Stegostoma tigrinum: one gene and its partners. The protein of the gene in region 1 purifies or fractionates together with the protein of each later gene. This does not show direct contact. Links are inferred from orthologs where the notes say so. Each region holds a gene or a part of one and is shown in the gene's direction. Other genes may lie near its edges.

Region 1 (6,955 bases):
TCAAACACACGCAGAATGCATTCCTTAAATAATCTACACATTTCTATAATGCTCTTCCCTGACAGCATCTGTTCCCATTTTATGTTACCCAGTTCTTGCCTAACAGAATTGTAATTACCCTTCCGCCAATTATAAACCTTATCCTGCTGTATGTACCTATCCTTTTCCATGACTATTGTAAGCGTATTTTACTTATAGCCTTATCAGCACATATTTTAATAGAAAGGTAAATAGAAAGCAGGACATAACACCAGCACTTCGTCGGAGGTTCACTGATGATGTTACCTAGAATGGTAACATAACGTCTGAAAACGAACCTTCCAGCTCAGCGAGCAAACTCACATCCAGAACCTCAACCTGAGCTACAAATCTTCTCAAAACTCGCTAGCACGTATTTTTGAATAATTAATTTCAAGATTTTCCTTTGCCCAGAAGGGATTTGTAACTTTTCTCAGAGTTCTACAGTGTTTGTTTCTTTGCCAAACCTCAAACCAGTACTGCTCCTCCAGAACATCAGTGGAATCATTAATTGCCAGATGTGACAAGTCTTCAAGGTCTTTCAAGCCCACACTGATTTTTCTACATTTCCCACCAGGTCTTAATGAAAACCTTTAGTCAGGAGTACTGTTTCTCTCTTGTAAGTTAATGCTGAACCGGTGATTGTTCTCTATCATTACTTCCTTGCTGTTATACTTTGTACCTCTACTTACAAAGTATAACATCCCTATACATTATTAAGTGCTTTCTCGATCCATCTTGCTTCCTTCAGTGACTTAATGAATCACACTTCTCTTCTTTTTTATGTCTGCAATTGTCCGCACCAGCTGTCAATGTTCCCGTAGAGTTTATTAGGATCTCCTTCACAGTTCACATTTTGAAATTGTGCCCTGTACATCAATGCCTACATCATTAATACATAATGAAGAAGGCAGCAATATGAACACTCCTAGGGAGCTCATATATACATACATATACTATATACACATCCCTGCAGTCCAGAAACAATTCAAAACTATTGTATTTACTGTCATTAAGTTAATTTCATATCTGTACTGCCCTGCTCCTTTCATTCCATGGGTTCTAACTTTATTAACAAGCCTCTTATATGGCACTTTATCAAATGCCATTTGAAAATGCACATATACCATATCAAAGGCATTTCTCTCATCAGTTGTTTGTGTTAGCTCATCAAAACAGTCAAGCAATTTAGTTAAACACAATTTGCCCTTAAAAGTTTGCAGTGAATTTCCTTTATTCATCCATATTTATCATTGTAAACATTGTCCTCAATTGTCTTTGCTAAAAGTTGAATGAATGAATGATTTATTGTAACATATATCAAGGGAGATAGAGCGAGAAGTGTTCTGTCACCACAATTCGGTGCCATTTTAAGGTGGAAGAGAATAAAAAAAGTACTTAAATAGAGTTCATCTTCATCGGCTGGGTCCCAAACATGGCTCCTAGACTTCTGCAAGGTTCCTGCTCTGGGCCTATTGCAGCCAGGAGCCCCCACTCGAGGCAATGATACAGCCTCAGTCGATGATCCAACGCCACCAAAAGAGCCCACTCTCCAGACTCACTGCAGCCAGGATCCCTGCTCTGCCATCATTCCAGGAGTCCACACATCTGGCCAATGGAGCCCAGGAGTCTCCATTCTGTCTTCACTAAAGCTGCTATTCCAGGAAACCACATATCAAGCCTATGAGCCAGGAGTCATTGCTCCGGCCTCCCTGGGATGCTGGAATATAAAGAACAGGGTGTCATGGTGGCTCAGTGGTTAGCACTGCTGCCTCACGGCACCAGGGACCTGGGTTCGATTCCAACCTCGAGTGACTGTCTGTGTGGAATTTGCACGTTCTCCCTATGTCTGCGTGGGTTTCCTACAGGTGCTCCGGTTTCCTCCCAGTCTAAAGATATTCAGGTTAAGTGGATTGGCTATGCTAAACTGCACATTGTGTTCAGGGGTGTGTGGATTAGAGGGATAGGTCTGGGTGGGGTGCTCTTTGTGTTAGTGTGGACTTGTTGGGCCAAAAGGCCTGTTTCCACACTGTAGGGATTCTGGGATTCTATGAATGAAAAGAAGAGAGGGAAAAAAGAAATGCATGGCAGGCTTGTAGTGGACAGGCTGAATTTGAATACTTCCTACTGGGTCGGTGATACGTGAAGTTTCCCATGATTGAAGTTATAGAGACTTTGTTGACTTTATCCTGACAAATGTTTTGGAACATAGGTGTAAGATTTGCAGTTCTCTCGTCCTCTGGCAACATCCCTACATCTTAAGGATTCAAGAATATGGTCAGCACCTGCATAATTTACACTCTTACTTCCTTGGTTTTTGATATAAAGCTGTTTCATCTTGTTCTGAATAGCCTGTGGAAAATATTTGCCTCTATAGATAGGGTCGTCAGTGAGAGCCTTTTTTCCTTGGATGATGACAGCTAGCACGAGGGGACATAGCTTTAAATTGAGGGGTGATAGATATAGGACAGAAGTCAGAGGTAGGTTCTTTACTTAGAGTAGTAAGGGCATAGAATGCCCTGCCTGCAACAGTAGTAGACTCACCAACTTCAAGGGCATTGAAATGGTCATTGGATAAACATATGGATGATAATGGAATAGGTGTAGGTTAGTTGGGCTTCAGATTGGTTTCACAGGTCGGTGCAACATCGAGAGCTGAAGGGTCTGTACTGCGCTGTTATGTTCTATGTTCTATCCAACCTCTCACTTTCTTCCACAGTACAAAGCTCCTCCCACAACAACCTGTTTGGGACATGTATCACATTGTTGAAGTGTCAAAATCCTGGAACCTGCTACATAGGAAAACTATAGGACTGTGTTCACCACATACTGTAATGGCTCAAGAAGATAGCTCATCCACACTTTCTCAAGAGCAATTACGGATGGACAATGAAACCTTGCACTGTCAGTATTCCCCTGTGCTATGCATAAATAAATATAGTTGCTTGTTCATGCAGAACTTGAGAATTGCTGAAAAGAAAGAAAGCAGTTGAAGCCTTCTGCTTCGCACTCATCAGGATGAGCATAGGTCAACCCTTGGTGCCTGTTCTGCCTATGGCTAATAATCTACCTTAACACCTTATCTTCACATTATTCCTCTTGTCTGTGCTTTGGACACTTCAACAAACCTCAGGTACTTTACTTGTGAGATGAACAAAAGGATCAAAATCAACTTTCAATTCAACACAATTTTATTCACAAAATACGCTCAAAACACAAAAGGCACTACATGGGTGAATATTGTCTATAAAATTGCTCTTTCACAATTAAACTCCTAATTCTTAGATTAATTATTCTACTAATTGCCACATTAAGTCTTTGTCACCACCCTTACCTAAACTATTACTGGTAACAAGACTAGGACCAGGTACTGCCTATGCAGGTAAACTTGGCCAGGCTGTGTATTGGCTCTGATGAACTTGGTAACTTGGCAAATATGAATCTTGTGATATAACAAGGTATAGAACTGGATAAACAGCAGGCCAAGCAGCATCTTAGGAACAGAAAAGCTGACGCTTCAGGCCTAGACCCTTCATCAGAAAATATGAATCTTGAAAGTGGTTATCTTCTCACTCTGTCTCCAGGTAGTGACGCGGGGTGGGTGCTCTGCTACTGGGTCAGTTTGAGTTGATAGTATCACAGTGGGTTTCCACCTCTGTGTTCGAAAACATATTTCGAATTTACAACTGCTGTATGTATCAAGTTCTGAACAGTTCATTAAACACACCACAGAGCAGAGCGCCTGAACTTAATAAATTGCCCCAGACAGCTCGCATGGGCTTTATAGTCTCCACCAGCACGTGGAGTTACTCATGCGCCCAACTGGCTCCGCCCACCGCGGAAGTTGTGTGTGGACAGGGCAACGCCGCTCAGAACGAAGTGTGTGTGTTACGTGTTCGTTGATTTCGGGTGGTTCGATATTCTGTGTCTGCCTCTCCTTCCGCCGCTGGTACGCATGCGCGGTCCCATTTGTTGTCCTCGTGGTCAGTACGCAGCTGTTCGCCATGTTGTTGCTATTTGAGACCGCTGCTGGATATGCTATCTTTAAGGTATTTGACTGAGTTCTGTTTCTCCCGAATCGTCTGTTGTCTTTGTGCTTGGCCATTTTTCTTTCCTCACATTCCCCTTTTTCGCTCTCCTTGTGTTTCTTTCCCTTCGGGCCTTTCGTTTTCCTCCCTGGCCTTCCTTTCCTTTTTCTCTCCTCAGTGATGAACTTTTTTTTCCCCACCACTCAGCCAGACACCCCTTTCTGCCTAACCTTCTCCCCACATCCTACTTTTCTCGCTCGTGGTCTCTCTCTCTTTCTCTCTCTCCTCCCACCCCACTGGCCGCTTCTTCGCCGCCTGCTGCCGCCGCCTCCTTTCCCGCGTTCCTCGCCCGCCTTGGTCATGCTTGTTCATAGATTCTTCAGGGCACGTAGATACAAGATAGGTCAGAAGGCGTAGTGGATATTTTGACTTTCAGCCGAGGCTTTGAACACACGACTAAGTCAGGTTATACTGCAGCGGTGTTCAACGTTGATTTGTCCACAACTAGAATATTATGCGTCCTTTCGGAAGAATATGATTGCACTAGAGAGGATGTAGAAGAGCCTTACCAGGATGTTAACTGAACCAGAGAAGACTAGCGATGGAGAGGGGTTGGACACGCTGGGTCAAAAACGGAAACTAAGCAGGTCTGGCAGAGAGAGCTAATGTTTTGAGTACAGTGACCCTTTTTCAGAATTGATGGATTTGAAAGATTAACTTTTTTTTCTTCCAGACCTGAATTTTCCCAGCAGTTTCTGGTTTTGTTTCAGATCTTCAGCATTTGCAGTTTTTCGTTTGATACTGGGATTGGTTTTCTTCGGAGTAGAGGAGACTGTGTGTGTCTTTTTTGGTCTGGTTTGCCATTCACTTTTGTTTGCTTACTTATTTTTATTTGGGCTTAAAGCACTCATCTTAAACCCATACTTCTAAACTTTAAACCAAAAATTAATTTTTAATGTGGTCTGATTGCTTTACCAAAATGCTATTTTACCATGTACTGCCCTCCTCACATCATATTAACAGCTGTTTAAAGTTTTTTGATAAGATTTCCAGCTCGGGTTATGGATGAGGTTGTAGACATGTTCACCAAGCCAGTGGGTTTGGTCGCAGACGTTTCATCACCCTGCTAAGTAACAACATCAGTACACCATAGGAGAAGTGTTGATGCTTTGTCTTGTTATTTGTATGCATCGGTTTGGGGTGTTTAGTACCACTCCCAGTTCTGTGTTTCAGTAGTCTCTACACAGGTCTAATGGCTATTCCTTGTCTCTAATCCTGGGTATTAGTAGCAATTCACTTTCATAATAAACAAGGCTGTTAGAATTTAACCATGTCTTTGGACATGCAGAGCTGGCACTCATTTTCTGTTGGATTTGGTACTGGTTGTGTTTTTCTGACCCTTGGCTGCAGAAGCAGATTTGGGCAAGTTTGTTGTGATCTGATCTTCTTTGGGCTCCTCCCCCCACATCCATAGGTCCTGGATGAGAATAAGCTCCGTGAAGTGGACAACTTATGGCGGGAGTTTGAAACAGCTGAAAAAGCAAATAAATTGTAAGTTACTTTGATTTATGTTTATTCCTTCAAAGGCAACGTGTAATATTTATTTGAGTGCTGATATTTGGTGCAGCACTGAAGCAATGATGATGATGACACTGTCTTCCCGATTTAAGTACTGAGGGGTTTTTCAGTCACTCATCTGAGACTGCCAGTGCTGGATTGTGTAATAACCACCCTCTTAAAAGTGCATGATATTAGTCATGATTGAGCTAGCTATTCAGTATGAATAAACGTGTGGGAAAGGAGTTTGGCAGACAAGGCTGTCTAAGTTGTCTGCTCAAAATGTTTCCATGTTCGTAAGTGGAATGTTAAATGATGGTTTTATGATTTCATTCTATCTATGCCTGAACATCCTTTAGGTGCAGTGTGAGTAAAGATTACGGTAAAGCAGAGGGAGGTTCGAAGACAGACCTTCTGTTTCTTTTTCAAAACATGATGTGCTCAGGCGAGCATAGTAAATCTACTGCTTTGACTGAGACTGTGCACGTCAGAGTTCCTGGTAGAACAAATTGAAATAGCTGGAGATACTCGGGTCTGGCAGTATCTGTAGAGAGGAAACAGTTAACCATTTTGAGTCCTCTTGAAGAAGGGTCCCAGAACTTAAAACGTTGAGCTTGTTTTGTCTCCACATGCTGACACATGTGCTGAGTTCCTTCATGAATTGCTGTTTATTACTGCGTGTGCAGTTCTTCGTTTTATTTTAGATTTTTCTCGTGTTGCTGGTCATACGTTTTGCCATCTGAACTCAAGGGAAGTTAGTCAGAATATTTGCTGATTCACATTTCTTGTGTGTGTGAGAGAGGCAGACAGACACACAGTGTGCTCGGAATTGGCTGTAATGCCATATTTGAATACTGTTGGGAACAGGGATGTAATTCATTGCATTGGCCTATGCCCTGCAAAGAATGGCCATTTGGGGAAGGTACTAGAGAAATTAAATGGAGCATAATTTGGTATATTGACTGGAGGAGGGCAAGAGGAAATAAACAAGTAAGTGTTTTGTATTTTCATCTCTTTCCTGTCTGCAGTGTGAAGTTAAAACATTTTGAAAAATTTCAAGATACCACAGAAGCTCTCGCAGGTAAGGAAGTCTCAATCCACAGTTGTTAACACTGAAAACAGACAGTCAAGCCTGCTTGAATTAAATAGCCCACATTGGAAATTAATGCAATGTCAGTTAGCATTCAGGCCTGCAAAATACCAGTGTGCTCTTCCTCCTAACATTTGAAGAGAATCGGTCTAATAGTGAAAACTGAGCAGAATTAGAAAAGAACTGGCCACATATCAGGCCTTTGGTATATCTCAAGCAATCTCTCAGATAAGATGACAAGATTTCACTTTATTCATTAAGT
Region 2 (7,891 bases), on another chromosome or scaffold:
CCCTAAATCTTGCCTAATCTCATCATAATTGCCTTTCCCCCAGCTATAACTCTTGCCCAGTGGTATACACCTATCCCTTTCCATCACTAAAGTAAACAAAACAGAATTGTGATCGCTATCACCAAAGTGCTCACCTACTTCCAAATCTAACACCTGGCTGGGCTCATTACCCAGTACCAAATCTAATGTGGTTTCGCCCCTTGTTGGCCTATTTACATACTGTGTCAGGAAGCCCTCCTGCACACTCTGGACAAAAACTGACCCATCTATAGTACTCGAACTATAGTGTTCCCAGTCAATGTCTGGAAAGTTGAAGTCCCCCATGACAACTACCCTGTCTCTCTCACTCCTATCGAGAATCATCTTTGCTCTCCTTTCCTCTACATCTCTGGAACTATTCGGAGGCCTAGAGAAAACTCCCAACAGGGTGACCTCTCCTTTCCTGTTTCTAACCTCAGCCCATACTACCTCAGTTGACGAGCCCCCAAACATCCTTTCTGCAACTGTAATACTGTCCTTGACCAACAATGCCACACCTCCGCCCCTTTTACCATCTTCTCTGTTCTTACTGAAACATCTAAATCCCGGAACCTGCAACAACCATTCCTGTCCCTGCTCTATCCATGTCTCCGAAATCGAAGTCCCAGGTACTAACCCATGCTGCAAGTTCACCCACCTTATTCCGGACGCTCCTGGCATTGAAGTAGACACACTTCAATCCAACTTCTTGCTTGCCGGTGCCATCTTGCTTCCCTGAAACTTTATTTCGGACCACCCTACTCTCAACCTTTTCTATAGTCGAACTACAATTTTGGTGCCCATCTCCCTGCTGAATTAGTTTAAACCCACCCGAACAGCCTTAGCAAATTCCGCCCCCAGGATATCGGTACCCCTCTGGTTCAGGTGAAGACCATCTTGCTTGTAGAGGTCCTACCTACCCCAGAAAGAGCCCCAATTATCCAAGAATCCAAAACCCTCCCTCCTGCACCATCCCTGTAGCCACGTGTTCAACTCCTCTCTCTCCCTATTCCTCGCCTCACTATCACGTGGCACGGGCAACAAACCAGAGACAACAACTCTGTTCGTCCTAGCTCTCAGCTTCCATCCTAGCTCCCTGAATTTCTGCCTTAAATCCCCGTCTCTCTTCCTACCTATGTCGTTGGTGCCAATGTGAACCACGACTTGGGGCTGCTCCCCCTCCCCCTTAAGGATCCCAAAAACACGATCAGAGACATCACGGACCCTGGCACCTGGGAGGCAACACAACAACCGTGAGTCTCTCTCGTCCCCACAGAACCTCCTATCTGTCCCCCTAACTATGGAGTCCCCAATGACTAATGCTCTGCTCCTCTTCCCCCTTCCCTTCTGAGCAGCAGGGACAGACTCTGTGCCAGAGACCTGTGCCCCACTGCTTTCCCCGGTAAGTCATCCCCCCCAACAGTATCCAAAACAGTATACTTATTGTTGAGGGGAACGGCCACAGGGAATCCCTGCACTGCCTGCTGGTTCCCATTCCGTCCCCTGACCGTAACCCATCTGCCTTTTTCCTGTACTTGAGGAGTGACTACCTCCCTGTAACTCCTCTCAATAACCCCCTCTGCCTCCCGAATGATCTGAAGTTCATCCAGCTCCAGCTCCAGTTCCTTAACGCGGTTTTCAAGGAGCTGGAGTTGGGTGCACTTCCTGCAGAGGTAGTCAGCAGGGACACTAGTGGTGATCCTTACCTCCCACATTCTGCAGGAGGAACATTCAACTGCCTTGACCTCCGTTCCCATTATTCTAAATTCCCAAAGACTTAAAAAAAGAATAAAAAATAAACTTGTTACCTTACCAATCAAGCACACAGAACCTTTTTTTCGGTTAGAGGAGGAGGATGGGTGGAAGACACTACCCGAGTAGTGTTTCAGGTAACGCAACCACACAAATATATTACCTCACTTACTCACCAGTCCCATGTTGGCTCCTGCTCAGCGTCCCTCCACCTATTCACGAGGTAAGCTTTTTAACGATTCAAAAACAGTGACTCATCAGCTTCCCGACAGGCTCCTGCTCCAAGCTCCTGCTCGCGCTGCTGCTGCTGATAACATTTCCTGGGTTTCTGGATTGGTAGTCCAGTGACAACATCATAGAACATAGAACATTAGGGGTGGCACGGTGGTGCAGTGGTTAGCACTGCAGCCTCACAGCGCCAAGGACCCGGGTTCGATTCCCGCCTCAGGCGACTGTCTGTGTGGAGTTTGCACATTCTCCCCCTGTCTGTGTGGGTTTCCTCCGGGTGCTCCGGTTTCCTCCCACAGTCCAAAGATGTGCAGGCTAGGTGGATTGGCCATGCTAAATTGCCCATAGTGTTCAGGGTTATGGGGGGATGGGCCTGGATGGGATGCTTCAAATGGTGGTGTGTACTTGTTGGGCTGAAGGGCCTGTTTCCACGCTGTAGGGAATCTAATCTAATCTAATCTAATTACAGCACAGTACAGGCCCTTCGGCCCTCTATGTTGTGCCGACCTGTCGTACCGATCTCAAGCCCATCTAACCTACACTATTCCATGTACGTCCATATGCTTGTCCAATGACGACTTAAATGTACCTAAAGTTGGCGAATCTACTACCATTGCAGGCAAAGCGTTCCATTCCCTTACTACTCTCTGAGTAAAGAAACTACCTCTGACATCTGTCCTATATCATTCACCCCTCAATTTAAAGCTATGCCCCCTCATGCTCGCCGTCACCATCCTAGGAAAAAGGCTCTCCCTATCCACCTATCTAAACCTCTGATTATTTTATATGTTTCAATTAAGTCACCTCTCAACCTTCTTCTCCCTAATGAAAACAGCCTCAAGTCCCTCAGCCTTTCCTCGTAAGACCTTCCCTCCATACCAGGCAACATCCTAGTAAATCTCCTCTGCACCCTTTCCAAAGCTTCCACATCCTTCTTATAATGCGGTGACCAGAACTGTACACAATACTCCAAGTGGGGCTGCACCAGCGTTTTGTACAGCTTCACCATAACCTCTTGGTTCCGGAATTCGATCCCTCTATTAATAAAAGCTAAAACACTGTATGCCTTCTTAACAGCCCTGTCAATCTGGGTGGCAACTTTCAAGGATCTGTGTACATGGACACAGAGATCTCTCTGCTCATCTACACTGCTAAGAATCTTACCATTAGCCCTGTACTTTGTCTTCCAGTTACTCCTACCAAAGTGCATCACCTCACACTTGTCTGCATTAAACTCCATTTGCCACCTCTCAGCCCAGCTCTGCAGCTTATCTATGTCTCTCTGCAACCTACAGCATCCTTCGTCACTCTCCACAACTCCACCGACCTTAGTAATAAAATGTGAGGCTGGATGAACACAGCAGGCCAAGCAGCATCTCAGGAGCACAAAAGCTGACGTTTCGCGCCTAGACCCTTCATCAGAGAGGGGGATGGGGAGAAGGAGCTGGAATAAATAGGGAGAGAGGGGGAGGCGGACCGAAGATGGAGAGTAAAGAAGATCGGTGGAGAGAGTATAGGTGGGGAGGTAGGGAGGGGATAGGTCATCAACCGGTTTACTCTCATCTACCTGTTTGGTCACCTTCTCAAAGAACTCAATAAGGTTTGTGAGGCATGACCTTCCCTTCACAAAACCGTGCTGACTATCCCTAATCAATTTATTCTTTTCTAGATGATTATAAATTCTATCCCTTATAACCTTTTCCAACACTTTACCAACAACTGAGGTAAGGCTCACTGGTCTATAATTACCAGGGTCGTCTCTACTCCCCTTCTTGAACAGGGGAATCACATTTGCTATCCTCCAGTCGTCTGGCACTATTCCTGTAGACAATGACGAGTTAAAGATCAATGCCAACGGCTCGGCAATCTCCTCCCTGGCTTCCCAGAGGATCCGAGGATAAATCCCATCCGGCCCAAGGGACTTATCTATCTTCACCCTCTGTAGGATTTCTAATAACTCTTCCTTGTGAACCTCGATCCCACCTAGTCTAGTAGCCTGTATCTCTAAGCCATCAACATCCCCTTTATTGGTGGACAGGTCAGGACTGCATTGGTATTGTTGAATCTAGAGGTAAAGTGTGGGGAAATGTATGATGAGAGCTTCAGCAGAGTGGAAAGTGGTTCAAGTGAAGTCTGTCTGCACTAGCACACGCAGGTGGAGTCAAAATGATCCGTACGTGTGATGCAATGCAGATTACACCGTGAACATAAAAGCCTTACAATGCGAATAAAACAAAACACAAGAAATGTGAATGCTGAAGATATGAAACAAAAACAGAAACACATCTGGTCTGGCAGCATCTGTGGTCAGAAAGTATGTTGGATGCTCTGCCCACAGTGGTAGTGGAGTCAGATACTTTAGGGACTTTAAAGTGACTCTTGGAATAGGCACATGGAGGATAATAAAATGTAAGGTATGCAGGGTAGTTTGATCTTAGTAGGATAGTAGGTTGGCACTACATCGTGGGCCGTAGGGCCTGTACAATGCTGCAGTGTTCTATGTTCTAACAAATTGAGTCCAGTGACCCTCCTTCAGAACTCCTGCAAGACAGAAAGAAATTGCTGCTCAGGAAAAGTAGCAACATCTGTGCAGAGAGAAAACACAGTTGACGTTGCAAGTCCACTAACCCTTCTTCAGAACGCCCTACAATGCAAAAATCAGAAACTGCTGGAGAAACTCAGAACATCTTGCACAGAAAGCAGAGTTAACGTTTCGAGTCTAAATGACTTTAAAACGCCGTCAGCACCTGGGACGGATCCGCGCGTGCGCAGAAAACGCCGGCCGGCTCTGGGTCACGTGTTGCACAGACTCCGCGCAGCCGCAGTGGGCATCAGTGAGGTGTAGGCGATTGGTACTGAGACCGGGGGGGCGGGGGGAGGGGAGGACGTGTTATTGTGCGCAACATGGACGCGCGTGTGGTGCCCAGCGACCTGTACCCGCAGATTTACGGTTTCCTGCTGCAGAATAAGTTCGACAAGGCTGCCAAGCAGTTCCTGAAGCAGTCAAACGTGGTATGTTGCCACCTCTGCTCTGCTAAGATCGACTGTTCGTTAGTTCTCTTTCGACGTGGTGGCCGCACTTCTGTGGCCTTGCTCACGGGCTTCGATAACGGCACTCCGGAGAAGGCCGGGCATGCGCGGAGGGAGAGGAACGTTGCCCGGGAGCACGCGGGGCCGGAATGGAACGTTCCCCGGGAGCACCTGGGCAACGTTCCATTCCGGCCCCCAAGTGTCCCTGAATGTACCTCAGGGGAGATACATGCAGCATCTTACAGCGTTGCTTTCAAACCGCATGGACCCGGCACACGTGGCCCATAGTTTCTCCTGCCACGGATGGTTGTGCATGTTTTTGTCTCTCTTTTTAAATCGACCTGCTCAGACATGTTATGACCCTCGTCTCTGTGGTAGGTGGGATTCGAGGTGTTTTGGGGTTTGGGACGGGCGGGGGCAAGGGGTGGGTGTTGAACGTGAGGAAGGACTACCCCGCACCGGTCTGTAACATGCTGCCTGCTGAAGGAGGGTCATCGCGGTGACACACACAGATTTCCTAACTTATATCCGATTGGTGCTTGAGGGGAGTTGGAACTGAGTGGGGGAAATGGAGCAGAACAGGTTGGGGGACAAAACTGGGACCTATCTGATGAAAGGTCTGGGCCTGAAATGTCAGCTTTTGTGCTCCTGAGATGCTGCTTGGCCTGCTGTGTTCATCCAGCTCCACGCTTTGTTATCTGGGACCGGAAGGCTGGGTTTGGGGCATGGGGTCAAGTAGGAGTATAAGGGTCAGAGGGGCAGCAAGATGAGTTGGAGGCAAAGTGGGCAAACAGGGCCATTTGGGAGGAAGGGGCAAATGGGATGTGGTGACAAGAGCCAGGGTATGGTGAAAGGTATGGAAGTCAGCAGAGTAGAAGGAAAATGGGATTGTGGGGCAAGAAATGGGTGGAATGAGAGAATGGGTGGCACAGCGGTTAGTACTTCTGTCTCCCAGTGCCAGGGACTCTGGTTTGAATCTACCTTCAGGTGACTGACTGTGTAGGGTCTGCATGTGAATGAATTAACTTTATTGTCCTAAGTACACAATGAGGGTAGTGAAAAGTTTTTATCCATTGCTGCTTGCGGCGCCATCTTCGGCACAGGGGTACATAGTTACAAGATCTTAGAAGGCATGGAAATAAAATGCCCAGTGTTGCAGAAATTAAAGTTCAGAACAATGGTCTTCCAACCCAGACCACAGTGGCACCTAGTGCCCAGTCCGCACCAGGCCCAGGCTCCAGACTTCAGACTTCACCTTCAGGATTGTGAGCATGGGAGTTCGCTTCAGACTGCCACACTGGGAGGCCGCTCCGCCTGGCCAGGAGTCGTTGGAGGCCAAGAGAGGAGGAGGAGGAGGAGAAGAAGAGGGAAAAAACACCAAAAGGAGGGAGGAAAAGTGAAGAAAAGAAAAAGAAGTGCAGTTGAGGTCCGGCTGGAGTGTCATACTCTGCCGCCATCTTGGAATTTCTGTCTGACTTGGTTTCCTCCCACAATCCAAAAATGTGCAGATTAGGTGGATTGGCCATGCTAAATTGCCCATAATGCTCCGGAATGTGCAGGCTAGGTGGATTAGCCATGGGAAATGCATGGTTACAGGGATAGGGTTGGGGGGTGGGTCTGAATGGGATGCTTGTCAGAGAGCCGGTGTGAGCTCGATGGGCTGAATGGCCTGCTTCCATACTATCGGGATTCTCTGAAAGGGGCTGATGGGCACAAAGCCATGGAGGAGTGCACATGGGACCAGGGACGGATATGGGGTGGAACAGGAATGGTGTAGGACCAGTGAGAATGGAACAGGGGAGGGTCTGAGAATGGTACTGATTAGATTATTGTCGAAGGGCTGAATGGCTTCTTGGTATGTTGTCACAGTTCTACGTAATAATCTACCTGTCTCTGCACTGAGGGTGGAAGGCTCAGAAGGAATGTGTTCTAAGTACAGAGGTGCCATACTAAGCAGGGAAAGCTGACAGACAGGCAAATGTGTAAAAACTTCTTTTAAAAAAGACACTGGTGAACACATTGCTGCTATGACTTACACCTTATGAATGCCCTGTGATTGGACTTAACGGAAATAGATTGTTTCAGATCAATTTGTTACTTAGAGATTTGCTTTTCTTTTCTTGATCTCCTCCCCATAAACTCTGAACTGACTAGCAGGATAATTGTTAAGATAATAAAATGTGAGGCTGGATGAACACAGCAGGCCAAGCAGCATCTCAGGAGCACAAAAGCTGACGTTTCGGGCCTAGACCCTATACTTTTAAGGATAATTGTTAACGCAGTTACAGGGACAGGTGAAGTAGCTCCTTCCAGTCTTGGTCAAGGAATTGAATCCATCGTGAGCAATAATGGTTAAGGGCTGGAAGTAAATATGTTGAGCTGAGATTAACTCACAACCTAATTATTGGGCCATTTTGCAAGCTCTGTTTGCCAGCCGATGAGGAACTGTCCAGCTCCATGTAGCATTTTCCTCTTGGTCTGTAGTCTTTTAGATTACAGCACTTCAGGCGCATATCCAAGTACTCCATAAATATTATGACAGTTTCTGTCTCTAGATCCCCACTACCTTTCGAGTGAAACAATTTCCCATCAACTCCTCTCTTAAACCTACCTTTTGTCCTAAGTCTGTGCCCAGGGTTTAGAACCCTGCCTCCTCCCGTTAACTCAAAGCCTTTCTACCTGGAACCCTCATAATTTTATAAACCCCCTTCATGGACTGTTCTGTTTCAAAGAAAATGACCCTACCCTATCCACTCTTTCCCCTATATTGAAATCCTCCAGTCAAGAGAGCATTCTCATAAATCACTTCTGAATTCAAGGCATCTGTGGATTGATCTGCAAATTGTTCCACATCGCGTGAATT
Region 3 (7,896 bases), on another chromosome or scaffold:
ATGCCCTTTAGGGGAGGAAACTGCCGTGCTTACCTGTTCTGGTCTACATGCAATTCCAGAGGTATAGCAATGTGGTTGAATCTTATGGGCAATTAGGAAATAAATTTGGCCTAACTAGCAATGCCCTCATCCCATGAATGAATAATTTTAAAAAAAAACTCATTCAGGCTTGACAGACCTGTACTGACTTAGCCATTTTTACCACGCACTTTCAAGTACTCTGCAATGTCAACTTTAATAATGGACTCTAAAATCTTAACAATGACCGAGGTCAGGCTAACCAGCCTAAAGCTTCCTGTCTTCTGCCTCCCTCTCTTGTTACATTAGCCATTTTCCAGTCTTCTGGTACCTTCCCTGACTCAAACGATTCTTGAAAGATCACCACCAGTGCTTCCACAATCTCCTCAGCTATGTCCTTCAGAACTTTGGGGTGTAGTCCATCCAATCTAGGTGATTGATCCAGTTTCCCCAACATTATCTCCTTATTGATGGTCACTACACTCACCTCTGCCCTGATTCTCTTCAAGTTCTGGTATGCTATCTGTCATTAGTTTCTCTGCCATTTCTTTGTTCCCCATTATTACTTTTCCAACCTCATTTTCCAATGGTCCAATGTCCTGTATCCCTTACCTTTTATATAATTGGCAGTGGAAGAGTTCAATGTCGTGTCTGCATAAAATTATAAAACGTGAGGCTGGATGAACACAGCAGGCCCAGCAGCATCTTCGGGTCTAGGCCCGAAACGTCAGCTTTTGTGCTCCTGAGATGCTGCTGGGCCTGCTGTGTTCACCCAGCCTCACATTTTATTATCTTGGATTCTCCAGCATCTGCATCTGCAGTTCCCATTATCACTCTGCATAAAATTCATTGCGGTGAGGCGCAAGGGGATAAAACTATGTCCTTTGCTGAGGACCACATTTCTGGGGATAGTCCAGCCATCGATATGCATTAGAAACCCACTGACTCCCACAGTTATCAGAGATAATGGGAACTGCAGATGCTGGAGAATCCAAGATAATAAAATGTGAGGCTGGATGAACATAGCAGGCCAAGCAGCATCTCAGGAGCACAAAAGCTGACGTTTCGGGCCTAGACCGAACATCAGAGAGGGGGATGGGGAGAATGAACTGGAATAAATAGGGAGAGAGGGGGAGGTGGACCGAAGATGGAGAGTAAAGATAGGTGGAGAGAGTGTAGGTGGGGAGGTAAGGAGGGGATAGGTCAGTCCAGGGAAGACGGACAGGTCAAGGAGGTGGGATGAGGTTAGTAGGTAGCTGGGGGTGCGGCTTGGGGTGGGAGGAAGGGATGGGCGAGAGGAAGAACCGGTTAGGGAGGCAGAGACAGGTTGGACTGGTTTTGGGATGTAGTGGGTGGGGGGGAAGAGCTGGGCTGGTTGTGTGGTGCAGTGGGGGGAGGGGACGAACTGGGCTGGTTTAGGGATGCAGTAGGGGAAGGGGAGATTTTGAAGCTGGTGAAGTCCACATTGATACCATTGGGCTGCAGGGTTCCCAGGCGGAATATGAGTTGCTGTTCCTGCAACCTTCAGGTGGCATCGTTGTGGCACTGCAGGAGGCCCATGATGGACATGTCATCTAGAGAATGGGAGGGGGAGTGGAAATGGTTTGCGACTGGGAGGTGCAGTTGTTTGTTGCGAACTGAGCGGAGGTGTTCTGCAAAGCGGTCCCCAAGCCTCCGCTTGGTTTCCCACAGTTATCTTGACTATACACCCTCACACCCTGCTTTCCATAAGGACTCCATCCCCTTTTTTCAATTTATCTGCCTACATCGAATCTGTTCTGATGATGCTACCTTCCGCAGGGGATTTCAAATGTCCACCTTTTTCCTCAATTGAGGATTTCCTGCTACTGTGGTTGATGGGGGTCCTTACCCCTATTTAACCCATCCCTCACACTTCTGCCGTCATCCATGCTCTTCCCTCATAACGATAGTGTCCCAAGGTCCTCACTTACCACCCCACCCCTGGTCCACTCCTCCCTCCATTTCCGAAACCCCTATGGCACCTTCCCATGCAATTACTGAAGCTCTAACACCTGCTCCTATACCTCCTCCCTCCTTGCTTTCGGATACCCCGACACACCTTCCAGCTAAAACAGCAATTTACCCGCATTTCATTCAAATCTAGTCTACCATATTCACTGTTCACAATGTCGTCTGCTCTACACTGGGGACATGAAATACAGACCACATGACTGTTTTGCAGAACACGTAGACTCTATTTATAAAAATGACACTCAGCTTCCAGTTGCTTGCCACCACCATGTTTCAACACCAATATTTCTGTAGTAGGTCTGCTGCAGAGTTCCAGGGAGCCTCAGCACAAGCTTGAAGAACAACATCTCATTTTCTGCTTGTGGACCCTGTAACATCTCAGACTCAACATCAATTTCCAGAACTTTAAAGCCTAATTCAATATTTCCATTTTTTAAAAATCCACCCCCATGCACAGTTCTGTCTTGACATAGAGTAATAATGTTATACGGCAGGGAAACAAACCCTTTGGTCCAATTCATCCATGCCGACCAGCTATCCTAAACTGATCCAGTCCCATTGCCAGCATTTGGTCCATATTACTTTAAACCCGTCCTACTCATGTAACCATCCAGATGTCTTTTAAATGTTGAAATTGTACCAATCTTCCCCCACTTCCTCTGGCATTTTGTTCCACACACAGACCACCCTCTGCATGAAAATGTTGCCCCTCAGGACCCTTTTTAAATCTTTCCCCTTTCACCTTAAGCCCATGCTCCATAGTTTTAGACTCCCCTACACTGGGAAAAAGACTTTGTCTATTCAGCCTATCTATGCTCTTCAATTTTATAGACCTCTATAAGGTCAGCATTCAGCCGCTGATGCTCCAGGGAAAATAGCCCCAGCCAATTCAACCTCTTCCTTTGCCCAAACTCTCCAATTTCAGCAACATCCTTGTAAATCTTTTCTGAACCCTTTCAAATTTAACAACATCTTTCCCATAGTAGGGAGATCAGAATTGAACACAGTATTCTAAAAGTGGTCTAACCAATGTCCTGTACAGCTGCAACATGACATTTCAACTCCTGTACTCAATGGAGTAAAGCTGCCTTCACCACGCTGTGTACTTGGAACTCCACTTTCAGGAAACTATGCACCATACTTCCCAGGACAGTATAAGTTCTTGCCTTGGTTTGCCATATGAAAATACAATACCTCACGTTTATTTAATTAAACTCATTTGCCACTCCTTGGCCCATTAACAATCTGATCAAAGAGCCACTGCGCTCTGAGGTAACCTTCTTTGCTGTCTGCTACACTGCCAATTTTGGTGTCATCTGAGATCTTACTAACCATACCTCTTAAATTCACATCCAAATCATTTATATAAGCAACGAAAAGCAGTGGACCCAGCACTGATCCTTGTGGCACACCACTGGTCACTGGCCTCCAGTGCAAAAAACAATCTTCATCCACTGTCTCCCACCTAGGAGCCAGTTTTGTATCCAGGTTGGCTAGCTCCCTATGGATTCCATGTGATCTAATCTTGCCAACCAGTCTACCATGCAGAACCTTGTTGTGGTTGCTTCTAGCACTGGAAACTCATTCCCATACCTATTATCACATTAATTAGTTTGATTTCAACACTGCTACTCTCCTACTCTCAGCTCTCATTACCACTTACAGACAGTAAGGACTGCAGATGCTGGAAGCTAGAGTCAATAAACGTGCAGCTGGAAAAGTACAGCAGGTCAGATAGCATCCAAAGAGCAGGGAAGTCAATGTTTTGGTCCTGACAAAGGCTTTTGGCCCAAAACTTTGACTTCCATGCTCTTTGGATGCTGTCTGACCTCTCATTACCACTTACTCAGCTTCTATTCTGTCCTGGCTCACTAATAATAGTCTCCTAACTGTTCACCCCTCTCATATCTCTCTCTCTGGGCTCCATCTCCACCTGTCCGCTCAACTCTGCCCTGCGTCCCCCAAATCTGATCGTCAGCAATAAATACCACATTTTCTTAGCTGCTATCAGTTCTGATGAAGAGTCACCGGACTCGAAGCATTAACTCTGCTTTCTCCCCACAAATGTTTCCAGAATTGGTGTGTTCCACCAGCAGTTCCTGTTTTTGTTTCTGATATCCAGCATCTGCAATTCTTCGTTTTATCTTCAAGAGTGGAAAATGTCTATTCCAGACTTGCAAGTTCCATTCCACCGCTTCCAGCCCCATAATAGAAGGGAAATTGTTAAATTTGGAAATCTGAAAGAAGCACATAAAAATGCTGGAAATCATCAGAAAACCATGATAAGAAGTGGCAATTACAGACGGGTCGCAACATTTGACAGATTCAGCTGGCATCTCTTCTGTCAGACTCCTCACCCCCGTCCCCTAAAAGCAGCGAGCCCCGCAGCGCAATATCTCCAACATTTGGGGGTGTTCAGTCCCCAGTCCATTCATTCCTTGCGTTTTTGAGACATTCGCAACAAATGGCATTAACCGCAACGCTGCCGGAACCCGCGTGAAGCAGATGTTCCAGAGATAATAGGAACTGCAGATGCTGGAATCTGAGATAACGAGGTTTAGAGCTGGATGGACACAGCAGGCCAAGCAGCATCAGAGGAGCAGGAAGGCTGACGTTTCGGACCGAGACCCTTCTTCAGATATGGGGGGAAGCTCTACACTTTGTTATCGTTGAAGCAGACATCGGTTCTGTGGACGTTCCGAAGTATCGAGCGTGCGCAGTGGAGAAAGTGGATTGCATCCTCACGGGAGCCCGTGACCTAACAAGACCAGAGCGAGCATGCGCAGTACGCGTGCGCAGCTAGGATGAGGGCGTCATCAACACTTGGGGGGGTGGTGACGCGTGTGCATGCTGTTGCGAAAGTGCGCGTGCGCGATAGGGAAGTGTCTTGAATTTACGCTTGCGCGGCCGGTTGGCTGTCGGCTTCTGAAAGCACCAGGAGGTGGAAGTGAAAGAGTGCGGCTCTGTGCAGTAAATACAGAAGAGCTAGCTAGTAAGTTAAAGTTGCTTTGTACTGCTTAAAACATTGTTGAGAAATTGGATGTAAGCAGTGGAAGTTGAGCTTTGTCAAAGAAAACACTGCTGTTCTACTGACTGATTTGAGGTGTTAAAATTCCGGCGTGGGCCTAAAGTGGGTGGGAGCCACGGGGTTGTCATCAATTTAAACTGATTAAATAGCAGGCAAGGGTGGCTCTGAACAAATCTTCCGGGATATTTTGTTATCGGAGGTTTCATTCGGTTTTTATCTTGACGGATTTGTTTCAGTGATTTTTGTTTTTTGACATTCGTTTCTCTGAATCCGCAAATAGGACTTAAATGCGTTTCCACATGCTTTCTGTTCCGAGTTTTAATTTAAAGCACTGACAATAACGTTCCCTAATTCTGTTATGTAATATAGTGTCTAAAGTACAGTTTGTGAATTGTATTGAAGTTCGCCTGTGATTGTCATATTTGGGCCTGATATTGCAATTCTGAAGATGTTGGATGAATGATAATCCAGGTGTGTGTTGTGCTATACCTTTTCAAAAAAAACTGATCACAATACATAATTATTAGATTCCATTTAAAAGGATTAAAGTAGCTTGTTAAATAGCTCCTGTGCCTGAATCTACTTTAAATTAATTTACTGTTGGATTTTGGATGGCAACCTGGAGGTCAAAAAGATTCCAGTTTGCCTGCTTTGTTAGGGATAAGTAACTGAATTTCAGTGAATGTAATTTTTTTTTATCCAGTGTCAAACTTTAACTCAGTAAGTCAAATGCTCTGTATTGTGGGTGCACAGCTTTTGTTGTAATCAAAATGTTTTATAAAGGAAAGCTTCAGGAGGAACATTAGACTATGTTTTCCATTAGCTAGTAGTGTTCTAATTTTAATAAAAATACAAACTACTTGTTCTAGTAAGGATGTACTTTTACCTGGTAGATTTGTAGTAACTAATCATTTTCATGCTTATTTTTAAGTTATTGTATTTCTAAAGATACACAAACTGCCTGGAGGAGTGACTGGTGCTGTTGACATGCTGTGCCCAAGAAAGTATTAATAATGTGAATTTATTAGAGGACAAGATCAATATTGGTAATTTTTCTTCCTCAAAAACTCTGATAATTATGTGATATGCAAAAGAGAGGATAATTATTTGATTTAAGACCATAAAACACAGGAGTGGAAGTAAGACTATTTGACCCATTGAGTCCACTGTGCCATTTAATCATGGCTGATGGGCATTTCAACTCCATTTCCCTGCACTCTCCTGGTAGCCCTTGATTCCTTGTGAGATAAGAATTTATTGATCTCTGCCTTGAAGGCATTTAACGTCCCGGCCTCCACTGCACCCCGTGGCAATTGAACATAAACGCAGAAAATAGAAGAAGGAGTTGTCTATTCAGCCCTTTTGAACCGGTTCCATCATTCAGTATGATCATGGCTGATCATCTAATTCAGTCTGCTTTCTCCTTTTATCTTCTGGTCCCTGTGTAGCCCTAAGGATTGTATTTAATTCCTTCAGAAAACATTCAATGTTTTGACCTCACCTGCTTTCTTGGACAGAATTGCACAAGCTCAGCAGTCTCTGGGTGAAGAGATTTCTCCTCATTTCAGTTCTACATGACCTACCTCTATCTTTGAACTCTTGGTTCTAGACTCCCCAGGCATTGGGAAGCATCCTCCTTGCATTTATGCTGTCTAATCCTGTTAGAATCTTGTAAGCTTCTGAAATCTTGTTCTAAATGCTGGTGAATATAGTCCTAACAGATCCGGTCTGTCGTCATGTTGGTCTTTCTGTCCCAGGGACTGGTCCAGTAAACCCATGTTGCAGTGCAAGATCAGAAGCTCCTTCCTCTGATAAGGAGACCAGAACTGCACATAATGCTGTGTGGTCTCAGTGCGGCCCTGTACAATTACAGCAAGACATCCCTGCTCCAATACTTGAATCCTCTTGCTACGAAGGGCAATTTACCTGGATGTGAGTTTGCTCGCTGAGCTGGAAGGTTCATTTTCAGATGTTTTGTCACCATTCTAGGTAACATCATCAGTGAGCCTCCGGTGAAGCGCTGGTGTTATGTCCTGCTTTCTATTTATCTGTTTAGGTTTCCTTGGGTTGGTGATGTCATTTCCTGTTCTTTTTCTCAGGGGATGGTAGATGGGCTCCAAATCAGTGTGTTTGTTGATGGAGATCCGGTTGGAATGCCATGCTTCTAGGAATTCTCGTGCGTGTCTCTGTTTGGCTTGTCCTAGGATGGACGTGTTGCCCCAATCAAAGTGGTGTCCTTCCTCATCTGTATGTAAGGATATTAGTCATAGTGGATCATATCTTTTTGTGGCTAGTTGATGTTTGTGTATCCTGGTGGCTAGCTTTCTGCCTGTTTGTCCAATGTAGTGTTTGTCACAGCTCTTGCAAGGTATTTTGTAAATTACGTTTGTTTTGCTTGTTGTCTGCATTGGGTCTACATTGGACAAACAGGCAGAAAGCTAGCCACCAGGATACACGAACATCAACTAACCACAAAAAGACGTGTATCCTGGTGGCTAGCTTTCTGCCTGTTTGTCCAATGTAGTGTTTGTCACAGCTCTTGCAAGGTATTTTGTAGATGACGTTTGTTTTGCTTGTGGTCTACATTGGACAAACAGGCAGAAAGCTAGCCACCAGGATACACGAACATCAACTAGCCACAAAAAGACATGATCCACTATCACTAGTATCCTTACATACATACAGATGAGGAAGGACAACACGTCCATCCTAGGACAAGCCAAACAGAGACACGCACGAGAATTCTTAGGAGCATGGCATTCCAACCAGAGCTCCATCAACAAACACGTTGATTTGGAGCCCATCTACCATCTTCTGAGAAAAAGAACAGGAAATGACATCACCAACCCAAGGAAACC

The links. Proteins that work in one complex are often made in the same cells at the same time.
Region 2: the proteins of nop58 (region 1) and nucleolar and coiled-body phosphoprotein 1-like fractionate together in Homo sapiens (co-fractionation; 3 studies listed by BioGRID, with this or other methods). This does not show direct contact. The link is inferred for Stegostoma tigrinum from reciprocal best matches to the Homo sapiens genes NOP58 and NOLC1.
Region 3: the proteins of nop58 (region 1) and importin subunit alpha-5 purify together in Homo sapiens (affinity purification with mass spectrometry; 3 studies listed by BioGRID and IntAct, with this or other methods). This does not show direct contact. The link is inferred for Stegostoma tigrinum from reciprocal best matches to the Homo sapiens genes NOP58 and KPNA1.

Annotation. Positions count from the first base shown.
Region 1 is NC_081360.1:7,344,708-7,351,662, forward strand, and holds the start of nop58 (nucleolar protein 58), read left to right. Parts: upstream 1-3,952; 5' UTR 3,953-4,022; coding exon 4,023-4,067; intron 4,068-5,520; coding exon 5,521-5,597; intron 5,598-6,631; coding exon 6,632-6,684; intron 6,685-6,955. UniProt on the Homo sapiens protein: Required for the biogenesis of box C/D snoRNAs such as U3, U8 and U14 snoRNAs. Part of the small subunit (SSU) processome, first precursor of the small eukaryotic ribosomal subunit.
Region 2 is NC_081390.1:19,023,922-19,031,812, reverse strand, and holds the start of nucleolar and coiled-body phosphoprotein 1-like, read left to right. Parts: upstream 1-4,882; 5' UTR 4,883-4,902; coding exon 4,903-5,010; intron 5,011-7,891. UniProt on the Homo sapiens protein: Nucleolar protein that acts as a regulator of RNA polymerase I by connecting RNA polymerase I with enzymes responsible for ribosomal processing and modification.
Region 3 is NC_081365.1:36,732,538-36,740,433, reverse strand, and holds the start of importin subunit alpha-5, read left to right. Parts: upstream 1-4,887; 5' UTR 4,888-5,002; intron 5,003-7,896. UniProt on the Homo sapiens protein: Functions in nuclear protein import as an adapter protein for nuclear receptor KPNB1. Binds specifically and directly to substrates containing either a simple or bipartite NLS motif.